Danio rerio: one gene and its partners. The main gene of each other region encodes a partner of the protein of the gene in region 5 in a complex. Links are inferred from orthologs where the notes say so. Each region holds a gene or a part of one and is shown on either strand. Other genes may lie near its edges. The genes, in order: rbm48, sf3b5, crnkl1, rbmx2, eftud2, cwc22 and ppil2.

Region 1 (4,661 bases), on a different chromosome or scaffold from region 5:
AATCTCCCTCTTTAACACCTGAAGATGAGGAAGACTCACTCTGCGTTGAGGTTTTTTGTACAGGAGGGATGAAATTATGCAGAGAGCCCATTTTATCCTCTGTCGTTTCATTGGTCCACTGTAATTGTGATGGCTGGGTAAAATGATTTTGAAGTCTATAAGAAATATCTGCTGTTGGAGGCAAAGGCAACAGAGGAAATCCCATATAGTCAGAATTTACGTTCTCCCTTCTGGCTTCTTCAGGGTTTTTCTGCATTTTAGGAGCTTCAGCTGTTCGTGTGTCTGTGCTTGATGATGACTCTGTGTTTACTTCCGCTTGCTGACTGTGTAGTTGTGCTGAAAACAAAATAAGCATATGATAGTTGTTAGACTTTCTACACATGCAATTTATTTAGAGAGAATACCAATGCATTACCATACCTGCATTTCGGCTTGCCCAGTTAACATATCTCCTTCTGTCTTGTAATTTCTGCTTTGTTTCCTCCACGGTTTCATACTCAGGAGCATAGCAGACATGCAGCTGACCCCCGAAGAAGCTCTTTTCATCTGTGTGCCTTTTAGCTGCCCTGTAAAAAAATAAATTAATTAATTAATTTAAAAAAAAAAAAAAATTATATATATATATATATATATATATATATATATATATATATATATATATATATATATATATATATATATATATATATAGCATGGCAATATCCACTCACTGGCCATTTTGCTAGGTACACCTGTCCAACTGCTCGTAAACACCAATTTCTATGCAGCCAATTACATGAAAGCAACTCAATTCATTTATGCATGTACATGGTCGAGACAATCTGCTCCAGTTCAAACATGAAAGCATGGATCCATCCTATCTGCTCAATGACATGCTATCATGTCAATATGGACCAAAATTAATGAGGAATATTTCCAGCTCCTTGTTAAATCCATGCCAGAAAGGATAAAAGCAGTTCTGAGGTCAAACCCGGTACTAGTAAGGTGTACCTAATAAAGTGGCCGGTGAGTGGATGTCATTCAGTGTAACAATAGTTTATAAGAAAAACAATTTTTGTCAGGCATATTTTTAAAAATCCCAGTACAGCTATTTTTACTTTGACACTATCCTAAAAATATATAGTTTTATTAAAATATAATTAAAATAACTACGATTACTTAATTCCATATATTTGAAATAATTATTCTTTGATTTTTGCTTTGGTTTAGAGGGGAAAAAATATGTAAAAAAGTATTTATAGAATTATCAGCAATAAATACTCTTTATAATATTCTTAAAATGTTTAATGGCAGTAAAGAGATTTACAGTGTTATTAAAGAGAAAGAGACACTAAAGAACATTAAAGAATCTTGAACAAAAAAAAAAAAAACCCTTAGATGTTTTGGATGTTAAGTTGTGCAACTTTACAACATTGATAATAATTAGAAATTATATACTGCACAACAAATCAGCAAATTAATTATTTCCGAAGAGTCATGTGACAATAACCATGTATAAATGCGAGTACCAAGCATGAAAATTACCCTTCATCCTCAACACAATACATTACACTTTTAAACAAGATAGAAAATGTGACAATGTAATAATACATCCGATTGTTGATGCTTTGTTTTTAGTTAAAAAAATATTAGCTGACTTGGTGAGCATAAGATGCTTCTTTCAAAATCATTTTCAAAATGGAAGACTCCAAACAATTGTATGGTAGTGTGTGTACTGTATATAGTTTTCTATATGTGTTTATTTAATATTTTAATAATGAATCATAATGTTTTAAGTCACATTTTGTGGAACCTACAAAGACAGTTCACTCCAAAATAAAAATAGACATCATTTACTCACCCGTTACATGTCACAAACATCGTCTGAGCTGAACACAAACGATATTTTAAAGAAAGCTTGAAGCCGGTAACCATTGACTTCAATACTATTTATTTGTCCTACTATGCAAGTTGATGGTTACTGGATTCCAGATTTCAAAATATCTTCCTTTGTGTTTCAAACCACTTGAGGGTGAATAAATTGTTATTGTTACAGTATTTGAGTCAACTATCCCTTTAACTAAAAGTGAATGCGACTCTGCAGTGCACCAACATGGTACATTGAGGTAAGGATGGTTTTAGATTCACACATTCTTTCAATGACAACTTGTGACATGCTCCCTATATTGTTTACCATGGTACTTTTAATATTGGGTTTGAAATCACATGCAAGTATGACTTCAAATCAGCATTACCACTATTTATTTGACTGTGAACAATGTTGAACTTTGATAGTCACTAGCTGCTAATTTGATTCACTATTAAGAATATGCAAAGAATACTTTTCTGAAATTATATCATCAACAAGAAAAATATGGCACAATATATAATATATGGCACAGACTCGCATGGGACATGATTTAATCAGCCTTTTCTTACCGTGCACTCGTCAACTTCTGGAACTGAATTAAGTAAACCTCAGTGAACTCTTCTGCTGGGTATTCATCCAGTGGCCTGTACTCCTCGATCACTCCATACAGAGCAAACAGCTGCACCAGCTCAGCCATCACTCCAATAGCGGGCACTCCTTGAACTAGTAAATACCGAGACTCCAGGTTGATGGTGTACACCTAAAATTAGCGATTCAGCCATTATTTTTATAAGCAGAGATTCAGTTCTTGTGAGAGAGACCTTAAAGACAACATGACTGCTTACATTGACGCTGCACAATTCGATGAGATAAAGGCATTTATAAAATAAACCGACCTTAACAGCTTTGAGGCGTCTTCCTTCTCTGTATTTTGGTCGCGTTTGGGCAACATTTTGCTGCTCGTGATGTTTATACACTTTTTGTGTGTCCCACACAGAGGAACTAGCAACTGACCCGTCCATCACTGTGGAAATCAGCGACGAAAAAAAACAGGCTTTCAAAATAAAAGTTCCAATTAGAAAAAATAAATAAAAGCCCGCTTTCCCAAAAGGATGCTAATAAAAATAATATTAAGAAGAATAATGATGATGGTGATAAAAAAATATTATAATGATAATGACGATGATAATTATAATAATAATTCATTTACACATCCAAATTATGATAAACACTTCTAACAAAATAAAATAAATATCAAAAAGATTTGGACAAAAGTCAAAATTGTAAGATGCTAACTCGCAGAAAATGTCGCAACTATTATAAATGCAGACGAATTAATTATAAACTATATTATAAATTTATTTTAAGTTTTTAACGTTTAAAACAAGCTTCTTTTTTTACCCATTTAAAGGGTTAGTTCACTCAAAACCGAAAATTCTGTCATTATTTACTAGGTTGTTGACTTGTTCCAAACCATTTTGATTTACTTTCTTCTTAACACAAATTAGGATTTTTAAAAATACATATAATACAAAACTTCCATATAATTATTTTCAGCATTCTTCAAAACATCTCTTGTGTTCAGCAGAATAAAGAAACTCAGAAAAGCTTGGAACCACCTGAACCTCTGAGTAAATAGTGAGCCCATTTGATTTTTTGGGGTGAACTCAATATATTACTATAAATTACTAGTAGGCCTATTTAATGTGGGAGATCATTATAAAAATTATTAGAAAATTAAGCAAATATATACTATTCAGTTGCTGGAGTAAAAGATTAACAGTGTTTTACATTTATTAAATGTAAAAAGATTTGTACATTACATTGATATAATGATGTAGGCTATTAGCCTATCCTGTACATTAGCTATATTTCATTCATTATGCATCCATTAAATAAATTAAACCTGTCCAAATTAGATCGTTTAAAATGTTTGAGCAAACGAGAATCTGCTATGTTGACTTTGTCAGATAAATAATGACTGATCATCTATGATGACTGATGGAAAACTGTTCAGTGTATTATATTGAATGGTGATTATTCCCCATTCGCCCGTCTTGATCGCTATATTTGTGAAATGGTATGCCTATGCATTATTGTTTACAGTGTTTGCCTATACAATACATATTAACAATAACCTTATGTGTAAAATATATTGATGATGTCCGAGAAGAGGTTAATAACATTAACACCCGTCTAACTTAGATCGTGTGTGCCTGAAACGTGTGTATATCTGCAGCTGGATAAGTTTTAACCCCAAAACACACACATATTAAATAAATGAATAACGTATACATACATTTTGCGGGGCTACTCATATTTCATTTAATAAATATTAATACTAACACACGGACATGTTTGCACAGTATTGCTACAAGATCATTACTGTAGTTGTAATTAAAACCCGGCTAATGACCAATCAGCAGCAAGGACTGGACATATCCGTTTTATAAAATGGTTTTATCATAGGCTGCTATTTCATAAGGTATGACAACAGATTCTTGACAGAAAGGAGCACGAGGTTCCTCTTTTCCCCATCATTCTGTGATACAGGCTTTGAGCAGCATCCCTCCAGAAGCATGTCTGAGGACGTGGTTTATTCAGAGGTCGTGTTTGTGAAGAAGAAACAGGCGGACAAAGATGATGAAGATGATCCAGATCAGTGTGGTGAGCTTTCAGGAAAAAAAACTGTGTATTCTTACAAAACCTGTGTGTGTGTGTGTGTGTGTGTGTGTGTGTGTGTGTGTGTGTGTGTGTGTGTGTGTGTGTGTGTGTGTGTGTGTGTGGCAATTAAATGTTTATGTTGCAATAA
Region 2 (4,533 bases), on a different chromosome or scaffold from region 5:
AATAGCGACATGGTAGGATTGCGTAATATATCGTTTCAGCATTGATATCGCAATGTAAACATTCGCAATAGCCATATTGCCAGTATATGCAATGTTGAATTATGGCTGGGTGATAAAATGGATATCGGTATTTACTGATCAAACACTATTGTCAATATCGATAATAAAAAATGTCTGCTAAGAAGTTTTGGTATGAAGCGTTATAGTTTTATTAAGATGTGGCTGCTGGGCACGTGCCTTGGAAGCAATGCCAATAAGCTTAGGGTGTAAGTTTTCAATGAAGGTGCATGCGCGAGTTGCACAACACGCACATGGGAGCAATGTGCACATGGTGTGCAAGCAACACACGCATTTTCAAGGTACACTTAAATGAAAAACATCAGAACTTTAAGAAAGCCGCAAGTCCTAAAGCTAACCAGTCAGCTTCACACAAAGCACACGCATGTTACTTCAGGTCAGAATAACAGCAGGCATAAAATGAGTGCCATAGAGCAGCAGTGAAGAGATTGTAAATAAAAAGGATGTAAGGATGTCGCTAGAGAGTCTTTCTGGTTTCTTTTCTTGTGCATCTCAGCCACTAGCTCCCCATGTGAAAGATTTTTTTTAGCTTAGTGGGTAATGAAGTCATTCAACCTCACAATTTTGTAACATGTATTTGAATAATGATGGTCGGTTTCTTTACTTGAAAGCTCAGATTTGATTATCATAATTTGTTTTGTTGACAGAGTTTAAGGTATGAATAATGATACAGTAAACCTCAAAGTTTGCTTTAATTGTTCAGCGTTTACTCTTTGCCATTGTGTACACTTTTTAACATTTTATTTATCAAGTTTAGGAGTTTCTTTACCACTTATATTTATATAATAAAGAGATCAGATAGTCTGTTTAAATATTTTGTTCTTGACTATTAAAACTATTTGCCTCAGTAATGTTGGTAAATTAAAATAAAGTGGTTAAATAAAACAAATCCTAATATTCACAAATGTACTGTTAAAAATATTCAATAGTTATCTATATCGAACTATATAAAACCTGATATTGTGATCCTTTTTTTGCAATATTGCCCAGGCCTATGTTGAGCTTGGATTATAACTCATCCTTTTAAGTGTTTTTTAAGGGTCTGTGAGAGTTTTAAAAGCGTGCAGGCCTCAGAAATTGAACTGTTTTTAACTTTGACAAATTCTATTGAATTGGTTCTAATACGAAGACTATGCAGTATTATTTTACATTTTAATTACTGTATACCTGATCACAGTTTGACTCCTGGAACAACAATAAAACGCTGTTTATATAATTCCATTTTTTTTGTTAATTGTAGATCGTTTATATTTTATGCATATGCACTCCCCTACAATCATCCTAATCAATCTAACTCACTATGTTAAATTTTTCCAATATCATGCAGCCCTATGACACTGTATCAGACATACTAATGTGCTTGTAAAATAATAAAAATAATCAAATCATTATTATTTTACAAACACATTGGTATGTCTGATTCAAAAATAGGAAGAATTTTGTGTTTTAGCCATTGTAAACGTCTAAATATCCTTATTTTGTTGTTCTCCAAAAACTACTATTACGGTATAGTAATATTTAGGGCCTTTTATGATCCGTTTTAGGAGACAGGTTTGTTTTAATGTAGCGCAATAAGTAAATCAATAAAATTAACAAATTTAAAAATAAACTATAAATGCATTATGTTTCAAACTAGAATACAGATCTGATCAATAGCATAGAACAAAAATAAATAACTTATTTTTCCAGTGTTTGCATAACAGTATGCAAGTATGCAGTATTCTACAAGTACTACATATCTTTATCTACACATAGACTGCATTCCATTTGAATTCTTGCTTCGTAAAGCGCTATACGGTTTAGTCTCAAAGACGCATTGGGATATAAATGCAGATTCAAATCCAGATTGATAAAATTGACCAAAGAAGTCAAATGTGGATCATTTAGCATGTTGTTGTAGCTCAGAGGTATTGCACATTTACAAAGCCAGGGTTTCTGCAGGTTTCACCAGGTCTAATTTAAAACTTTTAAAGACCTTTTTAAGACCATCAAGAATGAGATTTCAGACACATATAGGTATAAACGCAATAGGTTTTTTTTTTAATGGCCCTGCAGGAAAAATAAAATTATATATATTTTAAATAATGTGTCAAATAAAGCAGACCCTAGTTGTATATATGCATTTTTTTCAACATAACTTAAAAAAAATAACTGTTAAAAAATTTAATAAACTATTGTATGCACAACACGATGTTATAATATTGCTTATAAATAGAGCTTTGCTAAAAGTTTAATTGAGATGTATTGTTAATGATTGGGTGTGTGTTGGGTTGATTGGGTAACCTTTGATACAAAAAAGGAAAATTAAAGACCGTTTTAAAATTATTGAGGCTTACCTACAATACCATATTTAAATAAATTTAAGACTTTTTAAGGTCTACAATTGTGTTTTGGAAATATAAGACTTTTTAAGATAGAGGTAAAGTTGGTTTTATATTCAAACATTTGTTAGAGGTAAAGTTGGTTTTATATTCACACATTTGTTCATTTAGATGTGTCTATAATGTTTACCATGTTACTTTCAATATTCGATCGGAATTAGCATGCAAGTGTGACTTGAAAACAACATTAACACTGTTTATTTGACAGGGAACAATGTTGTACTTTGAAAGTCATTGGCTGCTAATACGATTTCGCCATTTAGAGTTTGCAAATAATACTGTTATGAAACTGTATTATTAAGGGGAAAGTCAGAATGTGCTAATATAAAACTAACTTTAACGTTACCTCTATCTTTTTAGGTCTCCGCGGGCACCCTGAAAGCACGCTTGACTTAACGCAGTATGACTAAATGCGTGCGTTATTCAAAATTATGAACATTTAAAAATATGAAAAGAAAAAAATAACTTATTTCATAAATTAAAACAAAGACCAATCATCATAACGTAAGCTAACGTTGCGCTGTGAACAAACTAACTTAGGTATGCGAATGTGGCAAAATTACATTACTTCAAAGAATGCAATTATTTTTCTCCTTCGGCTAAAACTAGTGGTGGGTATTTCTGTAAATATTATCGGTATGCTTACCTATAATGAAAAACTGTGATGTTTTATGGAAAAACGAATGAATGATTCCCCCAGCAGTTATTGTACACAATGGCTGTGCGAGGTGACTTCAACCGGACCGGAAATAGTTACTCTGAAATCTGTATGTGTGGAAAATATCACTGCAGTCAAGAGTTCCGCTCTGGTGGAAAGCGCTGCTCATGCTGCTGGGCCTTATTATTGTGATAACGACTTCTTATCCTCCGTATTACATATACCTTAAATGTGGGATGTGTGGAGGTGGAATATTGATTCTAGCTTACATTATATTAGCTTACGTGACTATCATAAATACTGCTCTAGGAAATTTCAGAGGTTTGGAAAAACAGTCAGCTTAGCAACAGCTTGAACATTTCACTGATAATAATAGAAGATAAATGTGTAATAAAATAATGTTATGTAAAATCTCTAGGTTATATAATGTAATTACATACATTGTAAAAATCCTCCATAATAGGTTTCTTGCATTACCCAAAGAGCACCAGGGCTTCTGACTGACTTGATATTGTTGCTTAGCCTACGATCAGCAGTCTAAATGAAATTTTAATGTTATTATTAATTTAATGTTAATAATAATATTAATGTTATCAAGAGAAGTTCCTAATTCAACTCTATGTCTGACTGAATTATATTATGCCAAAAAATCCACTAGTTGTCACAAAGTCAATCAACAGCACTTCTTCAACATTTCTTCTACCATTGATTCATAAACAAAGAAATCCCTCCTGCCATGTGAACTGTTTTTGGTGGAAATTTGCAAGGTAACCTTATTTTTTTCTCGACATATTACATTCTAAAAACTTTACAAAGTTATGTTACTTGCACATGACCACAAGGTATTATTATATATCATATATGATGACTAAAAAATTATTTCCAGGACATTTTTGTTCACTGTTCTGTTCTTGCTGGTTGAATCCATTTCCAAGCCTTGAATCTTGAATCCCTGTCAATATCTGAGAGACAGCTGAAAAATACTGTGTTCCATCAACACTTAATTGCAATCAATCAACCAATCAATCAATCAATCAATCAATCAATCAATCAATCAATCAATCAATCAATCAATCAATCAATCAATTTTCTCTTTACATAATTTCTCTATTCTTGCTTTTATTATTGTTAATAATGCTTAATTATAATTTTACATCACTTTTTCACATAGATGGATACGTGACTGCATGGGCATTGCGAGTGTTCGTGTCCATAGAAATGTATTATCCTCCCTACCTGTTAAATTTGATCTAATCCATGTCCTGAAACACACTTCATCGTCCACTTCCACTTCTAATGCCAACTAAGGGAGCAATTCGTTTGTGAATGCATCTCTGTTGTGAACAATTTGTGTGAACTATTGATATACCTGCTTTAATGTGCATAATATCCACCTTTCTGATCTAAATGGTATAA
Region 3 (4,732 bases), on a different chromosome or scaffold from region 5:
TTTATTAAACAGATATATTTATTAATATGATATTTTAGTCACTAAACATATTTAGAAATAGAAAGATAATACAATAAAATCAAGCTAAATTTAGCTAAAGTAAATTACAACCTATAAAATTTCAACAAAATTTTCCTTTTTTGTTTTTGCTTCTCTTGATTTTTCCTCTTTTGAAAAAAAAAATTGTATTTAATATTTTCCTATAAAATTTTTTGGCTTTTCTAGTTTTTGGGCCGTTATTGTAAGTTGTTTTGTTTGATAAGCTCCAGATTTGGCTTCAGTACTGACTAATGTATTTGCACAAATATAATACTGCAGCTTCCTATTAAAAACATGAATATAAAATAAAGATTTTTGAGGAGTGTATGGTACAATACTTATTACAAATTACCATGTATTTTGTATTATGTTGCTACTTTTGTTAAAATTATTCACATTTAACAGATTATATAAGTGGTATGTAAACATTCGAGCACAACTGTAGACGTAATATACAGTTGAAGTCAGTTGAATTATTAGCCCCCTTGTTTATTTTTTCCCTAATTTCTGTTTAACGGAGAGCAGATTTCTTTTCAACACATTTCTAAACATAATAGTTTTTGCTAACTCATTTCTAATAACTGATTTATTTAATTAATCATGATGACAGGTAAATAATATTTTATTAGATAATTTTCAAGATACTACTATACAGCTTAAAGTGACATTTAAAGACTTAATTAGGTTAATTAGGTTAACTAGGCAGGTCAGGGTAATTAGGCAAGTTATTGTGTAATGATCTGTAGACAAAAATATAGCTTCATGGGGCTAATAATATTGACCTTAAATTTTATTTTATTTTTTTATTTATTTTATAAAAACTGCTTTTATTCTAGCCAAAATAAAACAAATAAGACTTTTTCCAGAAGACAAAATATTATCAGACATAATGTGAAAATTTCCTTGCTCTGTTAAACATCATTTGGGAAATATTTAAAAAAGAAAAAAAATCAAAGGGGGCTAATAATTCTGACTTCAATTGTACGTTATATGTTTTTCGTCTGTGTGCACGCACAGACTTATTTTGGTAAACAAATAAATAACAACTCTTTACGGTTATTTCATACACAATAACAAGCAATACATAATTAACAAATTAATAAAAATGGACATTCACTTACATTAAAGATAGGTCGGACTATAAAAAAATCTAACAGTGAGCGAATAAAGTTAAATAACATAACGTTACATGTAACTTTACTTTGAGCCTCGTCACTAACCTTTATAAAAACAAATAAACATTCACACACATTGAAGAAAATTCGGTTTAACAATAAACAGATCTAACAGTAAACAAATAAATAACAAACGTTTAAGGTATTTAATTGAGGTAAGTTAACGTTATTAATGTAAAATGTTGAGTTTTGAACTCAGTCACTAGCCAATAATAGGCAAAAATATTTTAAAACAACAAGCATTCACTTACATTGACAAAAAGTCGATACACAAGCAACATAAAACAATTAAACAGGTATTTTTGGTGTATAACAATAAAAAACTGAGTTTTAACAGCCTCAAACTGCTGACCTTTTATTTATTGATAACGTTAACCGCTAGCAAGCGTCCTGTCACCATGGTGAGATGCTCCGTGACGTAGATGCAGGCAAAGGTCACAGCGCGTCACGGCAGGCGCGACACACACGGCACTGAAACGTCGCTAACCTTACAGGTTTTAGCGGGCTTTCGAAATCTAAAACACAAGAACATACGTCTAATTTATTTTTAATAAAGTGTCAGGAGCGTAATAATCATGGCGTCCACCGCGGCGGGCAAACAGAGAATCCCGAAAGTGGCGAAGGTAAAACCTATATGATGTTTTTGTGAGTTAGCATTAGCATGTAAACAACGTGAAGTCGTGCTGACGTTACTTAATAATTAACTACTGTATATAAATGTGGTTAGTGGAGTTAAGCTTATTTTTTTATAATGTATTTGTGTTTGTGTTCAGGTGAAGAATAAACCCCTGTAAGTTAGCATTAGCATGTAAACAACATGTAGTTCTGCTAACGTTACTTTATAATTAGTTAACTGATGTATAATGTGTATACATGTAATCAGTTGAGTTAAAGGTTGTCTTGCTTTGTAATGGTTTTGTATTAATGCTCATGTGAAGAATAAAGCTGTGAGTTAGCATTAGCTTGTAAACAACGTGAACTTGTGCCACTCTGAAAATAACAACTGTATAATGTATAGAACTATAACCAGATGGGTTAAAGATTGTCTTGTTTTGTAATGGTTTTGTGTTTGTGTTCAGGTGAAGAATAAAGCCCCTGCAGAGGTGCAGATCACCGCCGAGCAGCTGCTCAGAGAGGCCAAAGAGAGAGAGCTCGAGCTGCTGCCACCGCCACCCAAACAGAAGATCACCGATAAAGAAGAGCTCAATGACTACAAACTGAAAAAGAGAAAGGTATGAAATGTTGTATCACCATGTAGTATACCATGGTGTCACTATATGCATATGTCATAAAGTAGTACTAAATTACTGTGCATGTACTGAAAGCTTGGTTCTGTCATGGCATATGCCTCAAAAATATACAGTAGTGTCACAATTGCTTATAGAATGTGCGCAGTGCTATCATGATGTTCAGAAAATATGGTATTGATATGGTGTGTAGATTATAAAAGATGATATCGCTATGGTTTAAATGTATTATTTTATTATGGTAAACCTCTAGAAAACATGGGCATTATCACAGTGCATATTCAGAAAACTCAGAGGATATGCAATGTCTTGTTGGGTTTATAGTTGACCAGAAGACAGTTTATATATGTATATAAAGTGGAAGTCTGCCTGTGTTTTATGGACTGCCGCTGTATGAACATTTCAAGAACGTATAAAGCATCCAGGTGTAACGCTTCTCTTCCTGAAGACGCAAATCACTCAGGCGGACACAGAGAACTGCGTTCTGCGTTGTTTATTCTGTAACAGAAATATACATCCTCTGGCAACAGTATGCATTTAAACATGCATCGCCTTTCTGCATTCAGCAACCATTTTCTGCTGTGTTGCCACAAAGTCATTTTAACAAAACATTATTTATTTACAAAAGGTTAACATACCTGTAACAGAAATATACATCATCTGGCAACAGTATGCATTTAAACATGCATCTAAAAAAACCAAACAAATAGTAAGAAATCACCCTTGCACATATTAATGTCATCATTCCAGCTACACCTAGCATGAGCAAATTAAACCACACAAAGTTTGTCACACACGGCAATCACTCGACAGATTTGATCTAAAACATCACTTAATGTTCATATTGGGCTTGTATGTGTTATTAATATGTGTTAAAATACAAAATTTGTCACATTTAGCTGGAGCACATTTTACCTACCGCCTTTCTGCATTCTGCAACCATTTTCTGCTGTAGGCGGGGTTTTGCAGGTGAAAGGTGAAAGAAACAATTACACACTGTTGCCACAAGAGGTCTCTCAACAGCCACAAAATAAACAAAATAACCCATTTTGGTGAAAGACAATTAAACATTATTTTAACCCTGTTACACAGGCACAAGAAATTAGACCATTTGTACCTTTAATAAAGATACATTTTTAAAATAATTTTTACAATAAAGAAGATGCAGTGTTTTATTTACATTTGATTTTTTTGCAATTCCTGTACCTGTTTGCTGTTTGACAAATTCATAAAGTAACAATACTTGTAATTTTTTGTTATTTTTTTATGCATGATTCAATCCTTTATTGCAATCAGTCTGAATTAATAAACACTTCCCAAATAGAGTTAAGGCATCTGATGGACCTATATTCATTTTGCATTATTTATCACAGAAAAACAAAATATGTCAATGTTTGATTTATTTTTCAATATCTTGCACCCCTAATGTTCATGCTTTGAATATGCTATGTCAACAAGGTACATCTGGTCACAACATGATGTTACCAGTGTAAAGGTTTTGTCAATTTGATGTTTCGCATTTGATGTTCGTTTCTATAAAACTCCTAGTATACATGTACTAAACTCAATAACACATGGTATTATTGTGATACATACTTTAAAAGCTTCATATACATAGTGCATCTGCAGAAAATATGTCATCAGTATATTATGTGTCAAAAAGAATAAAATTATATTAATATCTTAAAGTTAAAATGCCACTGTCAGTGGTATATAATTAGGGGTGCACCGATATGGGTTTTTTAGTGTATATCGATAACTAATAACTCTTCAGACTTGGAGGCTGATAGTCGATATATATAGGTCGATAATTATAAATGTTTAAAAATGTTATATTTTTAAACTTAATAAAAGATTGAACTGCTCTTATGAACTGAAAAGTCTACTCAAACCAAAAAAGCTATAATTTCAAAATTGCAAGGTGGTTATATAGACCTATATTCACGATTTCACATAAATCAGCATGCAAGAAAATTAATTATTTCCTTTTCTTCATAGCAAATTAACATGCAACTTCACTGTTGCATAAAAATAATAGGTTAAATAACAAAACAGGATTTAATCAACAAGCAAGTTAAATATATTTAAATAAGATGAAAATGAAAGAGCTAACAACTGAAACCAGCTCAATTGTTCTTGAATAAAACGTGTTACATTGATGTACATATGTACAAATATGTAATGTTCGAAAAAAAAAAAAACTTTTCTAAGGGTGTTTTGACAGTTCAGAGTTACCGTACAAGCAAAAAGTTGAGTACAGGTTGTATTACT
Region 4 (3,689 bases), on a different chromosome or scaffold from region 5:
AGGTAAGATCTAAACCATTGTATAACAGTGCCCGCAACGCCCAGTGACTCGAGCGTAGATAGCAGGATCTGGTGGTTGACAGTGTCAAAAGCAGCTGACAAGTCCAGCAAAAAAATTTATTGTGCTAATTTCTCTGTGTTCATGTATTCAAAGCAGATTTATGTATTACAGCTTTGGTAACACTTATCACACAAAAAGGTTGTATTAGTTATGTAAACAATTCTGTTTATAATTTTAGTGGACAGAATGTCAAAGCGCAGTCTTGGAATGGAGGGGGTCTGGTTCAGGGACTATAGTTATTTGCAGACGTTGTTGTTGTTCTGTTGGCCTCATCGAACATGAACCTTCAGCATGCACTGGGGCGGTTTGCTGCCGAGTGTGACTCGGCTGGGATAAGAATCAGCACCTCCAATTCCGAGGCCTTTGTGCTTCACCGGAAAAAGGTGGTTTGCCATCTCCAGGGTGGAGAAAAGTCCTTAGGAGTTTAAGTATCTCAGGGTTTTGTTTACAAGTGAGGGAAGGATGGAACGTGAGATTGACAGGCGGATCAGTGCAGCGGCAACAGTAATGCGCTCGATGTATCGGTCCATTGTGGTAAAGGAGGAACTGAGCCGAAAGTCAAAGCTCTCGATTTACCGGTAAATCTATGTTCCTACTCTCACCTATGTTTATAAGATTTAGGTCGTGACTAAAAGGATAAGATCTCGGATACAAGCGGCCGAAATAAGTTTTCTTCACAGGGTGGCAGGGCTCACCCTTATAGATAAGGTGAGGAGCTCTTTCACCCGAGAGGAGCTTGGAGTAGAGCCGCTGCTCCTCCACATTTGTAGGTGTTTAACTGAATTGCTTTAATGCATTCCTGCTTTGTGCTCACATATACACTTTAGTCTTAATAGTACATAACCAGGGTGGGCGTTTTTCTGCTTTCTCGAATTGAACGCAGTAAACCAATCACAACAGACGAGTCTTCTCACCTTTTTTAGGCTTCTTCACAGGTACAGCGTACTCTTCCGCAGACTCTTCCTCAGAGGATGAAACTGGTTTAGGAGCACATCCCTCCTCGCGTAATTGTTTAGTGATGTCATCAATGTCATCAGTGTCCTTCGGTGGTCGATAATTCGCTACGTGGTCCACACGTATGGTCCGGCCCTTAATCTTAACAGTAGATAAAACAAATAGCAAATACATAAGGCAATGACATGATGATATTATTTCCTAGATGTATTATAAAAATAAACTAAATATATGATAAACATGTTTTTAATATCTGAATTACAATTCATTTGTATTTTTAAATCGTATTATGCATTTTACATGTAAAACTAAGAAATAAATTAAGAGACCACTTGGAAAGTCTCTGTTTCTCTGAACTTAGAAAATATTTATGTGTTCGAGTTTTAGTTTTGCTCTGCAAAAAACAGGTGACATTCTTCTCAATTTAAAATAAATTTGTCATTTAGAGCTTAAAAGGACAATTGGAAAAAAAAAGCTGCCATGTTTTAGGCATTTTTCTGGTCATTTTTATTTAGACAACACACAAAATATCAATGCTTAACTGCAAAGGAGTTAAGAAAGCCATATTTGGTGCAATAACCCTGATTTTGAAAACAATGAAAACATTTATTTTGTCAATTTAAAAAACTCTAAATTATTTTATATTCGAAAGAAATGTTATTAGACTAGAGAGTGGGGCGGGGGTGAGAGCGTGAGAGATGAGAAGCAGCACCTGTTGCCGCACTGGTTTTGAGTCCCACAGAGGAGCTCTTGATAATAAAAGGAGAAGAGAGGACCAGGCCTGGACACTTTGGGCCCTATCATATGCAAAGCAATTGTTGTTTGCTAGTTTCAGCTCGACACGAGTCGTTTCGACGTTTTGCACCACGGTGTTTAAATAGCAAATGCATTTGCGCTCATATGTGCGCCCATAGGTGTTCAGGTCTAAAAAAGGAGGCATGTTGAGGTGCATTGCTGGCGCGTTGCTATTTTGAGGAACTTAAATAGAAGGTTCAAATGGATCAGATCAAAGCTGGTCTATTTTCCAGCGCAGAGCGCATTAGTTGTGCGCCTCGCTTACACATTTCTTAATACACAGAGTATGTACAGCAATACGCAAATATCTTCACAAATAAAAAAAATAAAGGATTAAAATATTACAAAAATTATTATTTTCTAGCCTACATAAATATAAAAAACATACTTTCATTCTTCTTTATCTCGGGGGCTTTTTCAGTTTATTCATAACAATTTGCTTTTGTATAATGTTATTATTAATAGTAGTAGTATTTATTATATGCATATTTAAATTTGTTTTACTAAAAACAAGCTTAGATTTGTTCACCTGTCAGGTTTTAGACCATATTGGGCACAGCATGTGTATTTGGATATAACTCAGTTTTTTGACCACACTTTATTATTACTGTTCATTTATTCGTTTGCTGGAAATTAGAATTGAATTTAGAAGTAGTTTTGAAACAACTCTTTGTGCTTAACAAACAAAATTAATTATGTATAGGGCAATGGAAATCTGTGCGTACAACATTTTTCCCTATCCATGAGAGTGAAAGAGAAAGTAAACAATGAGGAGGCTCATCTCTCATTCTGGCGCTGTAGATGCTCTGTTTAACTGTTTTCTTTCTAGTGAAGCCTTCAGTTTTTCCACTTACAAAGTCCGCCATTAGGGGTGATTTTAGGATTTTCATTTTAGGGGGGCTTACCTCCTTATATGGTGAAAAAAAAATCTATTATAAATATAAATATTATAAATATAATATAAAGCCTAATATTACATTCATAAGTAGTAATTTAATAGTGTCTAATATGGGTTGTATACTAGTATTCCATAGACAGGCATAGCCATTTGAGTTCTGAATAAGGCAAATAGGCTCAACCCACCTGTTCACTGTAGTAAAAAGCACTTTCTATAGTCAAGTGCATTTTTTGTTTCCAGGTATTAAATAAATAAACTGCCACTTTTTTATTGAACTGACACACACACACACACACACATGTGTATATATATGTGTGTGTGTGTGTGTGTGTGTGTGTGTGTGTGTATATATGTATATGTGAAAAGTTTAGATGCAAAAAGCCATTTGATATTTTCTTCTAAAATGAGTGATAAAATAGTGACGAATAAGTTATTTTCATTGACTTTGAAGTTAAATATATGAACATAAACATAGGAAGCTGAGATAAATGCTCATTTTAGGAGAACGTTTCAGATGGCACTTAGAGGTTTTTGCATCTGAACTCTTCTGCATCTGAATAAAATACAATTCAGGTTGAAAAAGACCACATCACTAAAAAGACACTAGAAAAGCGTTTCACCTTGATTCCGTTAAAGTTATCGACAGCCAGAATAGTGCTCCTCTGATCTTCATAGCACAGGAAACAGAATCCTTTGGATTTGCCAGTCTTTTTATCTCGAACCAAGTTGATGTTGGCAATCTCTCCATACCTGACATTCACAGAGGAGGATTAAGCTTTACTAGCAAAGAAAATAAATACTGACGTCTTTAGCACAAAAAGACATGTTTAAAATGAACACTCTGGCTTACTGAGAGAAAACACAGATGATGTCTCCTTCTGTCAGCTCATATGGAAATCCACCTGCAGATTGATATTAATATACATATTTACATTACTTAAAATAAATACACACACACACACGCACGCACACGCACGCACAC
Region 5 (4,070 bases):
TTGATATATATATACACACACACACACACACATATATACATACATATCTATATATATATATATATATATATATATATATATATATATATATACATATATATATACATACATACATACATACATACATACATACATACATGCATACATACATATATATATATATATATATATATATATATATATATATATATATATATAAGAAAACATGTTAAATGAGAATCTGAAATATTTTTTGGCATACTTCAAAAAATAAAGATGATATAGTATTCAAAAACAATTTATTTTGAATATTTTTTTTAAATAAATATGTCTTACACTTCATATTTTCAGATTTTTCATTGGATATGTATTAATTCCGGTAATTTTTCCATAAACGGACACATCAACCTCTACCAAATGGTTGATATTTTGTCGCATGTTGAAAAAAAATTCATTGGATGTGTTGACTAGTGACATTATGAGTTAAGAAATGCTATCCATAGTATTTTTTTCTTGGTGGAGCAGTTAAAGGGTTAATATACCATATTCCTAAATTATACGTATATTAATATACAGAACTCATTTAAATGAGGACAAAAGTAGCAGGTCAAATCGCCAGGGCTCTGATTTATCAAATTTGCATAGACAAGTTCTTAGTAAGGAACATACATCAGAATAAAGTAATTTATTTATTGATGATTAGCTCATTTAAAGTGGTTTAAATCAATATTTAAATTAAATATGTTTGCTTAGAGATTAATTACAGCTGTGGACACTCTCCTCTCAAGCTTATAGATCACAACCTTTGAGTGGCTAACGCATATTTCTGCCCATTTTGTGCATATGCCATGTTCATCAATGAGACCCCAGAAGAGCAGTTACACATAAAGCCTAATTACACAATTAGGATCAAAGCCTAAAAGGGGTCATTTCAAAAAGTTATGAAGCGTTATTTGTGGAATATTTTTTTTTATAATTATTACGTTTTTTTTCTATGTTTTGGGGGGAGGGGAGCACTGGGAGCAGAGAGAGGGGAAGTATGGGCATAGGACCTCAAGCCGGGAATCGAACTCGGGTCGCCCTGAGCACTATGGTGCTATATGTCAGAGACTTATTTTACATCTAGTAAAAATGAGCATAATAGGCCCCCTTTAAATTGTTCAGCTGAAGCGTGTAGAGTCAGTGGTTGTTTTTATGCAAAAATCAGCTCCTTGAATTTGATGTACATTTTCTTAAAACAGGCGGATGAGGAGGATGACGATGATGACCAGGCTGAGGCTGATGAGGATGGAGGAGGTGGTGGTATGGAGGTGGTTCTGCATGAGGATAAAAAGTATTATCCCACTGCTGAAGAAGTGTATGGTCCTGAGGTGGAAACTATTGTTCAAGAAGAAGATACACAGCCGCTGACAGGTAACAGACACGCTGGTGGAAGAACAGTTTGTTTATCGCATGCACACTCAGTGGAAAATCAATGTATCTGACTTAATTGTTCCTCAGAGCCCATTATAAAACCTGTGAGGATGAAGCAGTTTACTCTGATGGAGCAGGAGCTTCCAGCGACCGTCTATGACATGGAGTGAGTTTATGATTGGGTTTTTTCCCCTCTTTGTTTGAATTGCATAAGCTTACATGCATATATCTTTTGATAGATTCCTTGCTGATCTTATGGACAGCTCAGAACTGATCAGAAATGTCACACTGTGTGGACACTTACACCACGGCAAGGTAAAAGACTTCATTATGCTGATTCAGTTTTTTAGATGATGTCTAATTAATTAAGGAGCATCATGTGGGGGTTTTCAGAAGTTGTATGTGTTCAGTTCAGTAGTCATTTTGAAAGCATTTAAAAATGCTTTTGTTTGTCCCTACAGACATGTTTTGTAGACTGCCTCATTGAACAGACTCATCCTGAAATCCGTAAGAGAGATGACGAAGATGTAAGTGTATAGATAAGTATTTGCATTTTGTTTCGATATATATAAATTTTTCTTTGTGAAGGAAAAATACATGCATACATTTAGACCGGATGGATGGATGGATGGATGGATGGATGGATGGATGGATGGATGGATGGATGGATGGATGGATGGATGGATGGATAGATAGATAGATAGATAGATAGATAGATAGATAGATAGATAGATAGATAGATAGATAGATAGATAGATAGATAGATAGATAGATAGATAGATAGATAGATAGATAGATAGATAGATAGTTAAAAGTAATCAAACTAAGAACATCAAGCATAATCTTTTCTTTACTTTAAACAATGATGGAAGTATACTTGACTCATCTTCTTTTTATCATCTTTTGCCTATTCCGGAGTCAAGTATATAAAACAAAAACAACTCCTAATAAAAGTAATATTGTAGTAGTTTATGTACAGTGGTGTGAAAAAGTGTTTGCCCCTTACTAATTTTTTATTATTTTGCATGTTTGTCACACTTTATTATTAAAATAAAGTATATATTTGTCAGAGAAACACAATTAAACACTTCATGTAGTTATTATTAAAGGGGAAACAAAAAACAAAACAGTGTTTATATATACACTGTATGTGCATTCTTCCGCACACCTGTAGTTTCATATAAATTTAAAACATGAGTTATTACTCATTTATAGCAACATTTTGCACTGAGGCGTTCTTTGTTTGTTCAGCTTTACAGTCATGTGGTGATGTATTAAAATATTGGTGTTTTCTTCTTTCCACAGTTACGATACACAGATATCCTTTTCACTGAGCAAGAGGTAAACTGAAATAGGATATTGATTAAACATTTCTCTCTCAGTGATGTTATTTAAAGTTTTTTTTTTTGCTTTTTGATAGAGAGGGGTTGGCATCAAGAGTACTCCTGTAACCATGGTGCTGCCGGACTCACGGGGCAAATCCTACCTCTTCAACATCATGGACACGCCAGGTACTTTCCTGCCCTATAAAATCACTTACAGATGCACACTAAATACATTTGTGCACCGGCATGTAAGAACAGGTGATTTTATCTCTCATACTTCTTTCTCGTACTTCACATTCTTTAGGTCATGTGAATTTCTCTGATGAAGTGACATCTGCAGTTAGACTATCTGACGGGATTGTGCTTTTTATTGATGCTGCTGAGGGGGTGAGTTCACACACACACACACATAAATATTGCCTATGTGCTTTTTCACACACATGCATATTGCTTTTCGCTTCAAGACTGTAAGTACTATGTTGTTGTCATTAAAATACACTGATAAATAAATCTTAGTCACTGAATAGTTTGTATATTAAACTATCTGTGTTATGCAAGACTAATCTTTCTTTAGCATGCCTTTAACTGTTTGTTTGGATATGTTCAGGTAATGCTGAACACTGAGCGACTGATCAAGCATGCAGTGCAGGAGAGATTGGCCATCACTATCTGTATTAATAAAATAGATCGTCTGATTGTGGAGCTCAAACTGCCCCCTACTGATGCCTACTACAAATTGCGCCACATTGTGGATGAGGTCAACGGCTTGCTGAGGTACCCCACAGTACTTGAAATTAATTGTTTTGGTTGATCGAGCATGCTGATGGTACTATTTGTGTTTCACCTGCTTACGTTTGAAGCAATAGCTGTGAGATCTGTTGTTTTTAGTTAGCAGTTTTGTCTGACTGTGTTTGTTTTTCTCATTGGCAGCACATATTCTACAGATGAGTCTCTGATTGTGTCGCCTCTGTTGGGGAACGTCTGTTTCGCTTCCTCGCAGTACTGCATTTGCTTTACTCTCGGCTCCTTCGCCAAAATCTATTCAGACACCTACGGTGAGATCATTTTTTTAATTTAATGATCAGCACTCTAATAAAAAAAATATTATGCAAACATGTAAAATGAATAATGTAGTTTTTAGATGACTTAATACATCTAATTCTTAAACTTGTAAATATGCACTGAAATTAAAGTTTTTGGCAGAAAGCTAAAATTCTGGACACACGATCAAAAACTGATTTTGTAAGACTTTTAATTGGATCCAATTACTTAAATTATACAGATTTTTAAAAAATGCAAGACTAATAAAATAACCAAATTATTTACAGTGAATTTTATTTTACCATTGTATGC
Region 6 (4,070 bases), on a different chromosome or scaffold from region 5:
TTTGTGTTTTTTTTTAGTCACTAATCTGACCTTTTTTCGGATCAGCCAAAAAGGGGAGGAAACAAATGTAATTTGCTTTCCATTTATTACAAAAACAGTACTGCAAGACACTTGGTTTTAACAAACAGAACTTCAAATTTAAGTTTTTATTAAAAATAAATTGAAGAAATAATCATCTGAATAAAAGTAATTAGTAAAATGTTCAGTACTGTGAAAAATTATATATTTTTTTACACACAAAAAAAAATACATAAATAAATGTGTACTGACAAAAAAAATGATTTATATGTTATATGGAATGTAAGTGAATGAATCATACAATAAATTCATGCAGAATATTGTGAAATATCATTACTTGTTTTCTGTCTCTTAATAAACCAACTGTATTGATTTATAGATTGTTTAATTTATTTGGCCATTGATGATCAATAATGAAAACGGTTTAGAATTCTGTACTTTAAATGCGTAGATCTCACAAAAATGTGTTTAAACTTGAATTTGATTCATGCCATTGCCAAGAAACTCTCACACAGGTCTTATGAAATGCTGTTTATTATCATGAATAAAACAAACACTGTTGACACACAGCTAGTCAACAAACCTAGTGCTTGAGTTATGGCTTTGTTTTTCTTATGCTCTTGTGTCCATTTCAGCGTACCTCTGATGAAGAGACCAAAAACAGAGAAAGAAGCTCCTCACCTGACCGGTAAATCTTATTAGCATCGACTTAGCAAAATCAATGCAGAAATAAGACTTTTTTTAACAAAAATGTCATCTGTCTCCACTACAGGCATGAAAAGAAGTCAAAATCAAGATCCCGCTCAAGATCCCGCTCCAGATCTCGCTCCAGATCTCGCTCTCCTCGTGAACGTTATAGAAGGGCTCGTAGGTAAGTGGAAATATGTGCAATTCAGATGTCCCAGACAGATTAGCTGCCATCATTTTTTTTGTATTTTTCTGGACTATCCATCTGATTCATTTAAAACAGAGGTTTCCAAACTTTTCATCCCCCTACCCTCAAAGTAACAATGGCAGTGAATCGTGACCCCCAAATTCCTGTAAAAATATAGGTGTGAAATATACATATACAAACATTGCGCACACAGCAGTAGGCCTATATAAATTCAAGCATATAGACAACAAAAAAAGTGCAACATTATAACAATCATCAAATTTTTATAGTCATCTATTATGCCTAATTCTATTATATTGCTATTTGTTTAATTTAATATTAACCTCAACTATTGAGACCACTGGGCACAATGTTTTCTGCACAAGTCTATTCTTGGTTTAATTTTAAAGACCACCAATCAGAGATCATTCAAATAGTTAAGTTGTGGCCTGTATTTATTTTTAATGTATTTGATTTCCATAAAGGTGTCAACGTTTAACCTGGTGCTATAAACAGGGTTTGTACGGGTGCTGGAAATCCTGGAAAATGCTTGATTTTTAATATAGTGTTTTCAGGTAAGAAAAGTGCTTGAATTTTGGACAAAGTGCTTGAACCTGCTTGAATTTAAAATTGCAGGGCTCAAAATTGTGTCCATTTTGATTGCATATGCACCTGAAATATTATCTATGCAAGGTCCAAATATATTTTGGAACATTTGTGTGAGTGTATAAAATTGTTGCAGTGCGACCAGTTTTCACTGCAAAATGTTCACAGCATGCGCGTATTTAGTAGACATTCATGCAGAGAAACGCCAAACGAAGCACTCAGGAATAGTTTTAAACAAACATGTCAACTTGTTACTACACCCAAAAAAAATCTGACTGTAAGCTCATTTTTTGAGATATCAACTTTTGATAGAAAGAGTTAATATATATATTAACCATTTTTTGGGTGAATTATCCCAATAAATCTATGCTCCAAAGTATTCAATAGTTTAAGTTGAAATGTCATATTGTGTTTTTAAAAATAGCACAATGGATTTAAATGTAAAAAAGTACATACAGCGTATATAAACATATTTTACCATGGTTATTAGGAAAAGCATACAAATGCACCTTGAAAGTGCTTGAAAAGTGCTGGAATTTGAAGTTAGAAAAAATTGTAAGAACCCTGTATAAAATCAATCTGCTGCAGCTGACACTATTGCTGTGTTGTTAAATTAAACACAACAATACTATGAAAAAAAATAACTGAAAGGCTGACGGTTTTTTATTCGCATGTTGTTGTTTTTATGTAACTATAAATTACTATTTTTATTTTCTGTGTGTTATGGATGAAATATCGAAATTCTAATAGTTTATTAAAATTAATTTGACATTTAGAAAACACCAAGCGGCCCCTGTCATTGTTCATCGACCCACCAGGGGGTCCTGATCCCCACTTTGGGAACCAATGATTTAGAAGCTAAATTTATGAGACAGAAGCTTCGCTAAACAGTTTTGGAGAATTTCAAAAGTTTTAAAGAAGGCTACCGAGTGAAATGACTTGCCTTAAAGGAACTTTGATATTACATACATGTATACTAGCAAGCGAAATGCGGTGCTTGAATTATTTTCTTTTTCAGTGTGAAAGGGAACTGAACTAGAACAGATATGCCCAAACTAGAGCCCGCAGGCCAAAGTTGGCCCTTTGATTTGGCCCACCATCCCATCTGAGAAGAGGAGAATGTTGGGGAGATTGCTTTTAACAGAGATCATCATTTTGAATTAAACGTAATCTTTTTTTTTTTTCAAATGTTCAGCTACAACAAAGCAAACTGAAATTAAATGTTTCAATTAAATGTTGTAAATGAATCAGATTTTTAAAACATGTAACTAAATACTGTTTAAATACTCGATGGATAGAGGACAATGCACAAAACATTGCAAACAAATCAGTGCAAAAGCTTGACTTGTGTATTCAGCATTAAACTCTATTGTGTAAATAAATGATTGTTTTTGCTGTAAAATGTTCATTATATGTATTATTTTATAAATTATACTACATTAGTTTAAATAAAGCAGTGTTTTCTATTTATTTATTTTTTTAATATTAGCAAAATAAATTAGGAAATTACTTGTAGCAACTTTAATGTAATACAGTTTGCTATATTTACCTTCGGCCCACAGCCCTCAATCAAATTTGTTTTTTTGTTTTTTTTATAAGTAAAAGTTTGGGCACTTCTGCACTAGAACTACCAAGGCAGTCCTTTTGACTGTTTTTAAAATTTTGTAATTTAATAACTATTAAAATAAACCCATATAACTATAGTTCCCTGACTTGCAAATTTCCATTCTGGCATTTTTTTGTTCTCTATTGTCCTTGCATCAGGTCCAGGGAGCGAGAGCGGGACCGTTATGGTGATCGGGAGCGTTACGAGCGGCGCTCCAGCAGAGAGAGGGATTGGGAACACAGGAGGAGGGGAAGGTCAGCCTCTCCAGACAAAAATGATAAACCTCCCACTGAGGAGCCTCCAGTGAAGAAGAGGAAGGAAACGCTGGACCCCATCCTAACCCGCACCGGTGGGGCCTATATCCCACCGGCCAAACTGCGGATGATGCAGGCTCAGATCACTGACAAGAGCAGGTTGGTTTCACTTTACTTACCAGTTCTACACACTCATGTTTATTAATATCTACTCACTGAAAAAAAATTACTCTTAAGATTTACTTAATAAAACCTTCATAACATTTTGCACTAGTAAATTTCACTGTCTTATATCAAGTACAATTAACTTTTATGTTACAACCTCTTTGATGTTATTCTAAGGTAAAAGGTAAAACATTTAAGCGCTGGCAATTTACTATGTGATAATGGAATTAAAAAGACAAACTACGGAAATGCCAACAAAATTATTTAATTTACAAATGTGAAAAATATACAAATGTCCAAATATATGAACAACATGAAATATTTACAATAATGAAAAAATTAATAAAGTGGCAAATTCAAAAAGAAAGTACCAAACAAACATATTAGGCCAACTCCGGAGGAAAGGGACGCTAGTGAAGCCAAACAAAAGAAAGAAATATAACAAAACAATTTAAGAGTAACTTTTACCTGGCTAGAAAGCATATTGAAACAAAAGCAACGAAAAGTCTTCAGCGCCGCACACTGTATTCTTCCCTATTCTCAGCTG
Region 7 (4,673 bases), on a different chromosome or scaffold from region 5:
TCGGCCAAGTCCCTTTATTAATCTGGGGTCGCCCACAGGAGAACATGCAAACTCCCAGAGAAATGCCAACTGACCCAGCAAAGGCTTGAACCAGCAACCTTCTTGCTGTAAGGCAATTGTGCTACCCACTGCACCACCGTGACGCCAAATTTATATTCATTTCTATGTAAAACTTATGTAGATAATGCTTACAACCACACTAATAATGTGAGAATGTGATTGGCCAAGGACAGAATAGAAGTCAAGACAACTAACCTATATTCTAACCTATAAGTATACAGATATCTGTTTTCCATAGGTGCGTCCCAAATCGCATACTTACGCACTATTCTACGCCATTTTGTAGTATAAATAGTGCAAGTAGTGTGTTCACACTGAAAACTCTATAAATAATAAGTGCATTTTAATACCAGGATGATGCACTCGTTCAACTATTACAATGAAGTGTGGAATGTTGGACACTTCACGCACTCAACAATCTCAGATTTGCTCACATAGCGGAAGGAGCATTGGTATAGGGTGCACATGTTGGATTACTTTATTTATTTTGAATTGTGAAAGCAAAATTATCCTACAAGAGTGATTATAGCGCCTCCCGAAGGTGAATGCGGTTATCCTTGCATATATTATCTGGTCCTTTGGTCATTTATTTTACTAATATGGCAACCATCAAACGTCATCAGGGAAATGGTTTGAATTTCCGTTTAGCAAAATAACAGTTAGTGTTCCATTTGGGACGACAATACATACATATACTATGCTGTTGAGTGTGTTAGTGCAGGGGTTCCCAAACTTTTCAGCCCGCGACCCCCAAAATGAGAATGCCAGTGACTCGTGACCCCCAATATTCTCTGAGGTGGTGGTTATAAATACAGAAACCTTGTATGCAATGACGCACACACACCAATAGACCCAAGTCTATTCTTTGTTTTTTTTATGTATGTCAGTGCTGTAAATGGGTTAGAAAGTTTAACCTGGTGTTCCAAAATCTGCTGCATCTGACAGTATTGCTGTGTCTTTAGTATAATGTAATTACTCAAGAAGACGCAATCCAATAGAACTAGTAACTATAAGCTACTATAGTAACTATATAGTTTATAGTAACTATAAACAACTATTTTTTTCTCATCAGTAGGTTATTGATAAAATACAGTTAGTCTTAAGGTTTAATAAAAATTAATTGATTTTTGAAAATCAACAGGCAACCCCCATTCATTGTCCCGCGACCCCTCGGGGGGTCCCGACCCCCACTTTGAGAACCTCTGTGTTAGTGCATAAGTACATAGTGCTTAATGTATAGCGTGCCATTTGGGACGCAGCTCATGACTTTTACAAAACTTTGTGGGTTTTCCTTTTTTTCCAGGCCTGGAAAATGTCAAGTCAAAATTCAATGATTTTTCTAGGTTTTCCATGACCGTATGAACCCTGTACAGTGCTCAGCATAAATGAGTATAACCTCCTTTTGAAAATGTATATTTTTATCCACGTCTTAGAAAATACAGCCAATAATCTTGGTGCATTTAAACAAAATATTTTTATCCATTAAAATAAAAGTTTGGATACCTAGTGCCTTTAACAATAAAAAGATAATATATTTAAATTCAAACAAGTTATTGCAATATATATATATTTATACAACAGTTGTCTGGTTCTTGAATCTGATTGGCTAATAGCCGTGATATATTTAAGTAATTTCAGCACCAGTAAAGCCTCTTTACCTCTTTTTTTTGTGTATTACTCCGCCCACATACAACCAGCAAAAAAGCAGACACTACAGATCTAAAGTTTAAAAGATGCTTGCTCAGCTGTTTAGCTATCAGCTTATGATTTGAATCCAAGGTGGAAGAAAGTAGTTCCTCATACAAAAGGGTTTTTGAGAATCTCCATGTTTGATTTTGTTTTTATATACACAATTATGCCGTTAAACTGTTGTATAAACGCAATATCACACTCGTAGCAGTGCGATATGGCTGTATATCGGCACTGGCGGGGGCACTAAGGCACTCGGCCTCATGCCAACGCACATCTCCCACCAGATATACAGCCATATCACACTGCTATATATATATATATATATATATATATATATATATATATATATATATATATATATATATATATATATATATATATAGACCCACTAGAAAAATGACAACTGTTTTGTGTTTTATTATTTTTTTATTGAATAATTTTCCCAAACATAATTGTTACTGACTATATGCATAAATATATTTACGCTAAATGATATAACACTATTTCTATTTCACCAATATGTGAAATTATATTCAAATAGACACTTTTCTTGCATTTCAAATGTTTTCTATGTAACTTATAAGTTATATTTAATTTGATAAAGAAACAAAAATGGTACGTCCTACAGTCCCAAAAGCTTGACATGACTTGAAGTAACGTTACATCAGGTTAACGCAAATACCTGCTTTCTTCCCTCCATAAAACTGGGTGTATTCTGTAGATGTAATGTACCTGAAAAACAGAGTATTGAATAAATCATTTGAAAGCTGTATAAAGAGTATAACGTCGTCATTTACATATTTGCATTCTTTAGATAATTCATGTTACGTCGCTGAATCTAATACATGAACATTAATCAAAATGCCGTCGTTGCAGCTGAATGAAGAACGACTTACTGTCCCAAAATTAAAATTAAAACATTACAAACCCTAAATAATACAAACAACGCAAACAGTTAAAGAAGCGTACTCAGTTTTCAGTGAAATAATAAAATTCAACCGTTAGCAAACGTGTCATATTTCACTCCAGCAACTCACATCTTGTCTTTTTGATGCTGTCTTTTCCCCATTTTTGCGACCTAAGCGGTGGTGCTAAATAAAAGAATTAAAATTCAGGAGTTTATAAACAAGCAACACAAACGCACGACTGTTTAAATACTCTACTTCCGGTGTGTCCTAGGCGCGACCGGTAAATGCAACCGACCTAAAACAACAAAATGTTTTTTGGTCCTCTTCGGTTTTGACTGAGATACTGTTCATAAAATTCGTTTTTTAATTACTGTAAATTATGTCTATGCTCAACTTGGGATGTCTGAATAATACTCAATAATGAGGGGGATATTTAAAGTGTTTGATGTTTGTTGATCACAAAATAAAAAAAACATGAAACCTATGAATTCATTCATTCATTCATTTTCTTTTCGGCTTAACTTAGTCCCTTTATTAATCAGGGGTCACCACAACGGAATGACCCGCTAACTTAACCAGCATATGTTTACGTATGTTGTATCCTTTCAGCTGCAACCCAGTACTGGCAAACATCCATACACACTCATTCACACACACTCACACTGCGGCCAATTTAGTTTATTCAATTCACCTATAGCTATGTCTTTGGACTGTGGGGGAAACCGGAGCACCTGGAGGAAACCCACACCAACATGAGGAGTACATGCAAATGCCACAAACGTCAACTCGAACCAGCGACCCTTTTGCTGTGATGCAACAGAGCTACCAACTGCGCCACCGCGCGGCCTACATATAAACTAATTCATTTCATCTATCCCGTGAAACAAGTTGTTAAAAACGTTTTAGACATGCAATCTGCATGTTCTTTTTGTGAATTAGAGGAATTGCTGAAACACCTGAATACTCATTGAATGCACATATTCCCAAATGTTTTGGTTTGATGTTAAATATGTTATATTTAAACGTACAAAATTAAAAATGCAGTTTTCTTGTAAAGATGTTTTTGACATACAATAATAATAATAAAACTTTGGAGCAAATTTTGTTTATTAATTTAATGATTATACAGTGCTCAACATATAGGCTACACCCCTCACAAATCACTCTATTAAATTCATATTTTTAATAGGAAGCTATATAATATTATATTTGTGCATATACATTAGATTAGTCAGTACTGAAGCCAAATCTGGAGCTTATCTAAATAACTTATGATGACGGTCAAAAAACCGAGTACAGTCAAATGTATATGTTAGAGAAAAATATTAAATATAAGTTTAAAAAAGAGGAAAAATCAAGAGAAGCAAAAAAATAAAATGAAAAATTTAGTTGAAATTTTGTAAGTTGTACATTTTTCACAATATTTTGCTTGAATTTAATTGTATTATTTTTCAATTTTTAAATATGTTTGGTGACCAAAATATTTTTTTAATAAATATATCTGTTTAATAACTCTGTTTTGTTTAAATGCACCAACATACATTTCCTATATTCACTAAGAAATGGAGAAAAATATTCATTTTCAAAATGGGGTGTACTCTATTATGCACAAACAAAAGTGGTCCATTGATAAACCTAACATTTATTTGTTTAAAATTCATCTTACGCATTATTTTGAAAACCTAAAATACTTTAATAATTAAAAAAACTATAAGGATGTATGCAATTTTGGAATCAATTTCCTATACAAATTTATTGTAATTTATATGTTCCCTATATATTTTTTTTATTTATTTAATTTTTATTCTCTATTGATTTGTTCATTTGATGTAAAAAAAATTGAAGTACTGTCCCAGCAAGCATTTTTTGTTTTTAACAGATGCCTAATAGAAGTCTAAAGTTATCTTTAATAAAACAAGACTAAATTCAGGTTGTCACTGGAAATCTAATAGACATTTAAGAACAGCCCCAAAATAGACTCGTCAAATAGACAGATCCCAGCAAGCATTTTTT

Evidence for each region.
Region 1: eftud2 (region 5) and rbm48 share a complex: the UniProt entries of both Homo sapiens proteins name them as parts of the minor spliceosome. The link is inferred for Danio rerio from reciprocal best matches to the Homo sapiens genes EFTUD2 and RBM48.
Region 2: eftud2 (region 5) and sf3b5 share a complex: the UniProt entries of both Homo sapiens proteins name them as parts of the minor spliceosome. The link is inferred for Danio rerio from reciprocal best matches to the Homo sapiens genes EFTUD2 and SF3B5.
Region 3: eftud2 (region 5) and crnkl1 share a complex: the UniProt entries of both Homo sapiens proteins name them as parts of the minor spliceosome. The link is inferred for Danio rerio from reciprocal best matches to the Homo sapiens genes EFTUD2 and CRNKL1.
Region 4: eftud2 (region 5) and rbmx2 share a complex: the UniProt entries of both Homo sapiens proteins name them as parts of the minor spliceosome. The link is inferred for Danio rerio from reciprocal best matches to the Homo sapiens genes EFTUD2 and RBMX2.
Region 6: eftud2 (region 5) and cwc22 share a complex: the UniProt entries of both Homo sapiens proteins name them as parts of the minor spliceosome. The link is inferred for Danio rerio from reciprocal best matches to the Homo sapiens genes EFTUD2 and CWC22.
Region 7: eftud2 (region 5) and ppil2 share a complex: the UniProt entries of both Homo sapiens proteins name them as parts of the minor spliceosome. The link is inferred for Danio rerio from reciprocal best matches to the Homo sapiens genes EFTUD2 and PPIL2.

What each region holds. Positions count from the first base shown.
Region 1 is NC_133194.1:42,804,161-42,808,821, reverse strand, and holds the start of rbm48 (RNA-binding protein 48), read right to left. Parts: upstream 2,949-4,661; 5' UTR 2,872-2,948; coding exon 2,746-2,871; intron 2,610-2,745; coding exon 2,419-2,609; intron 567-2,418; coding exon 421-566; intron 337-420; coding exon 1-336. UniProt on the Homo sapiens protein: As a component of the minor spliceosome, involved in the splicing of U12-type introns in pre-mRNAs.
Region 2 is NC_133188.1:27,082,151-27,086,683, reverse strand, and holds the start of sf3b5 (splicing factor 3B subunit 5), read right to left. Parts: upstream 3,282-4,533; 5' UTR 3,106-3,281; intron 1-3,105. UniProt on the Homo sapiens protein: Component of the 17S U2 SnRNP complex of the spliceosome, a large ribonucleoprotein complex that removes introns from transcribed pre-mRNAs.
Region 3 is NC_133195.1:52,274,637-52,279,368, forward strand, and holds the start of crnkl1 (crooked neck-like protein 1), read left to right. Parts: upstream 1-1,738; 5' UTR 1,739-1,789; coding exon 1,790-1,837; exon of another isoform or gene 1,838-2,293; coding exon 2,294-2,446; exon of another isoform or gene 2,447-3,150; intron 3,151-3,380; exon of another isoform or gene 3,381-3,412; intron 3,413-4,732. UniProt on the Homo sapiens protein: Involved in pre-mRNA splicing process. As a component of the minor spliceosome, involved in the splicing of U12-type introns in pre-mRNAs.
Region 4 is NC_133196.1:41,946,971-41,950,659, reverse strand, and holds part of rbmx2 (RNA-binding motif protein, X-linked 2), read right to left. Parts: intron 3,610-3,689; coding exon 3,558-3,609; intron 3,458-3,557; coding exon 3,328-3,457; intron 1,156-3,327; coding exon 975-1,155; intron 1-974. UniProt on the Homo sapiens protein: Involved in pre-mRNA splicing as component of the activated spliceosome. As a component of the minor spliceosome, involved in the splicing of U12-type introns in pre-mRNAs.
Region 5 is NC_133178.1:15,080,014-15,084,083, reverse strand, and holds part of eftud2 (116 kDa U5 small nuclear ribonucleoprotein component), read left to right. Parts: intron 1-1,220; coding exon 1,221-1,392; intron 1,393-1,479; coding exon 1,480-1,558; intron 1,559-1,631; coding exon 1,632-1,707; intron 1,708-1,853; coding exon 1,854-1,919; intron 1,920-2,697; coding exon 2,698-2,733; intron 2,734-2,812; coding exon 2,813-2,903; intron 2,904-3,021; coding exon 3,022-3,104; intron 3,105-3,324; coding exon 3,325-3,491; intron 3,492-3,647; coding exon 3,648-3,772; intron 3,773-4,070. UniProt on the Homo sapiens protein: Required for pre-mRNA splicing as component of the spliceosome, including pre-catalytic, catalytic and post-catalytic spliceosomal complexes. Component of the U5 snRNP and the U4/U6-U5 tri-snRNP complex, a building block of the spliceosome.
Region 6 is NC_133184.1:45,363,911-45,367,980, reverse strand, and holds part of cwc22 (pre-mRNA-splicing factor CWC22 homolog), read left to right. Parts: intron 1-446; exon of another isoform or gene 447-632; coding exon of another isoform or gene 633-653; coding exon 654-706; intron 707-790; coding exon 791-889; intron 890-3,262; coding exon 3,263-3,517; intron 3,518-4,070. UniProt on the Homo sapiens protein: Required for pre-mRNA splicing as component of the spliceosome. As a component of the minor spliceosome, involved in the splicing of U12-type introns in pre-mRNAs. Promotes exon-junction complex (EJC) assembly.
Region 7 is NC_133180.1:13,584,319-13,588,991, reverse strand, and holds the start of ppil2 (RING-type E3 ubiquitin-protein ligase PPIL2), read right to left. Parts: upstream 2,930-4,673; 5' UTR 2,822-2,929; coding exon 2,790-2,821; intron 2,485-2,789; coding exon 2,435-2,484; intron 1-2,434. UniProt on the Homo sapiens protein: Has a ubiquitin-protein ligase activity acting as an E3 ubiquitin protein ligase or as an ubiquitin-ubiquitin ligase promoting elongation of ubiquitin chains on substrates.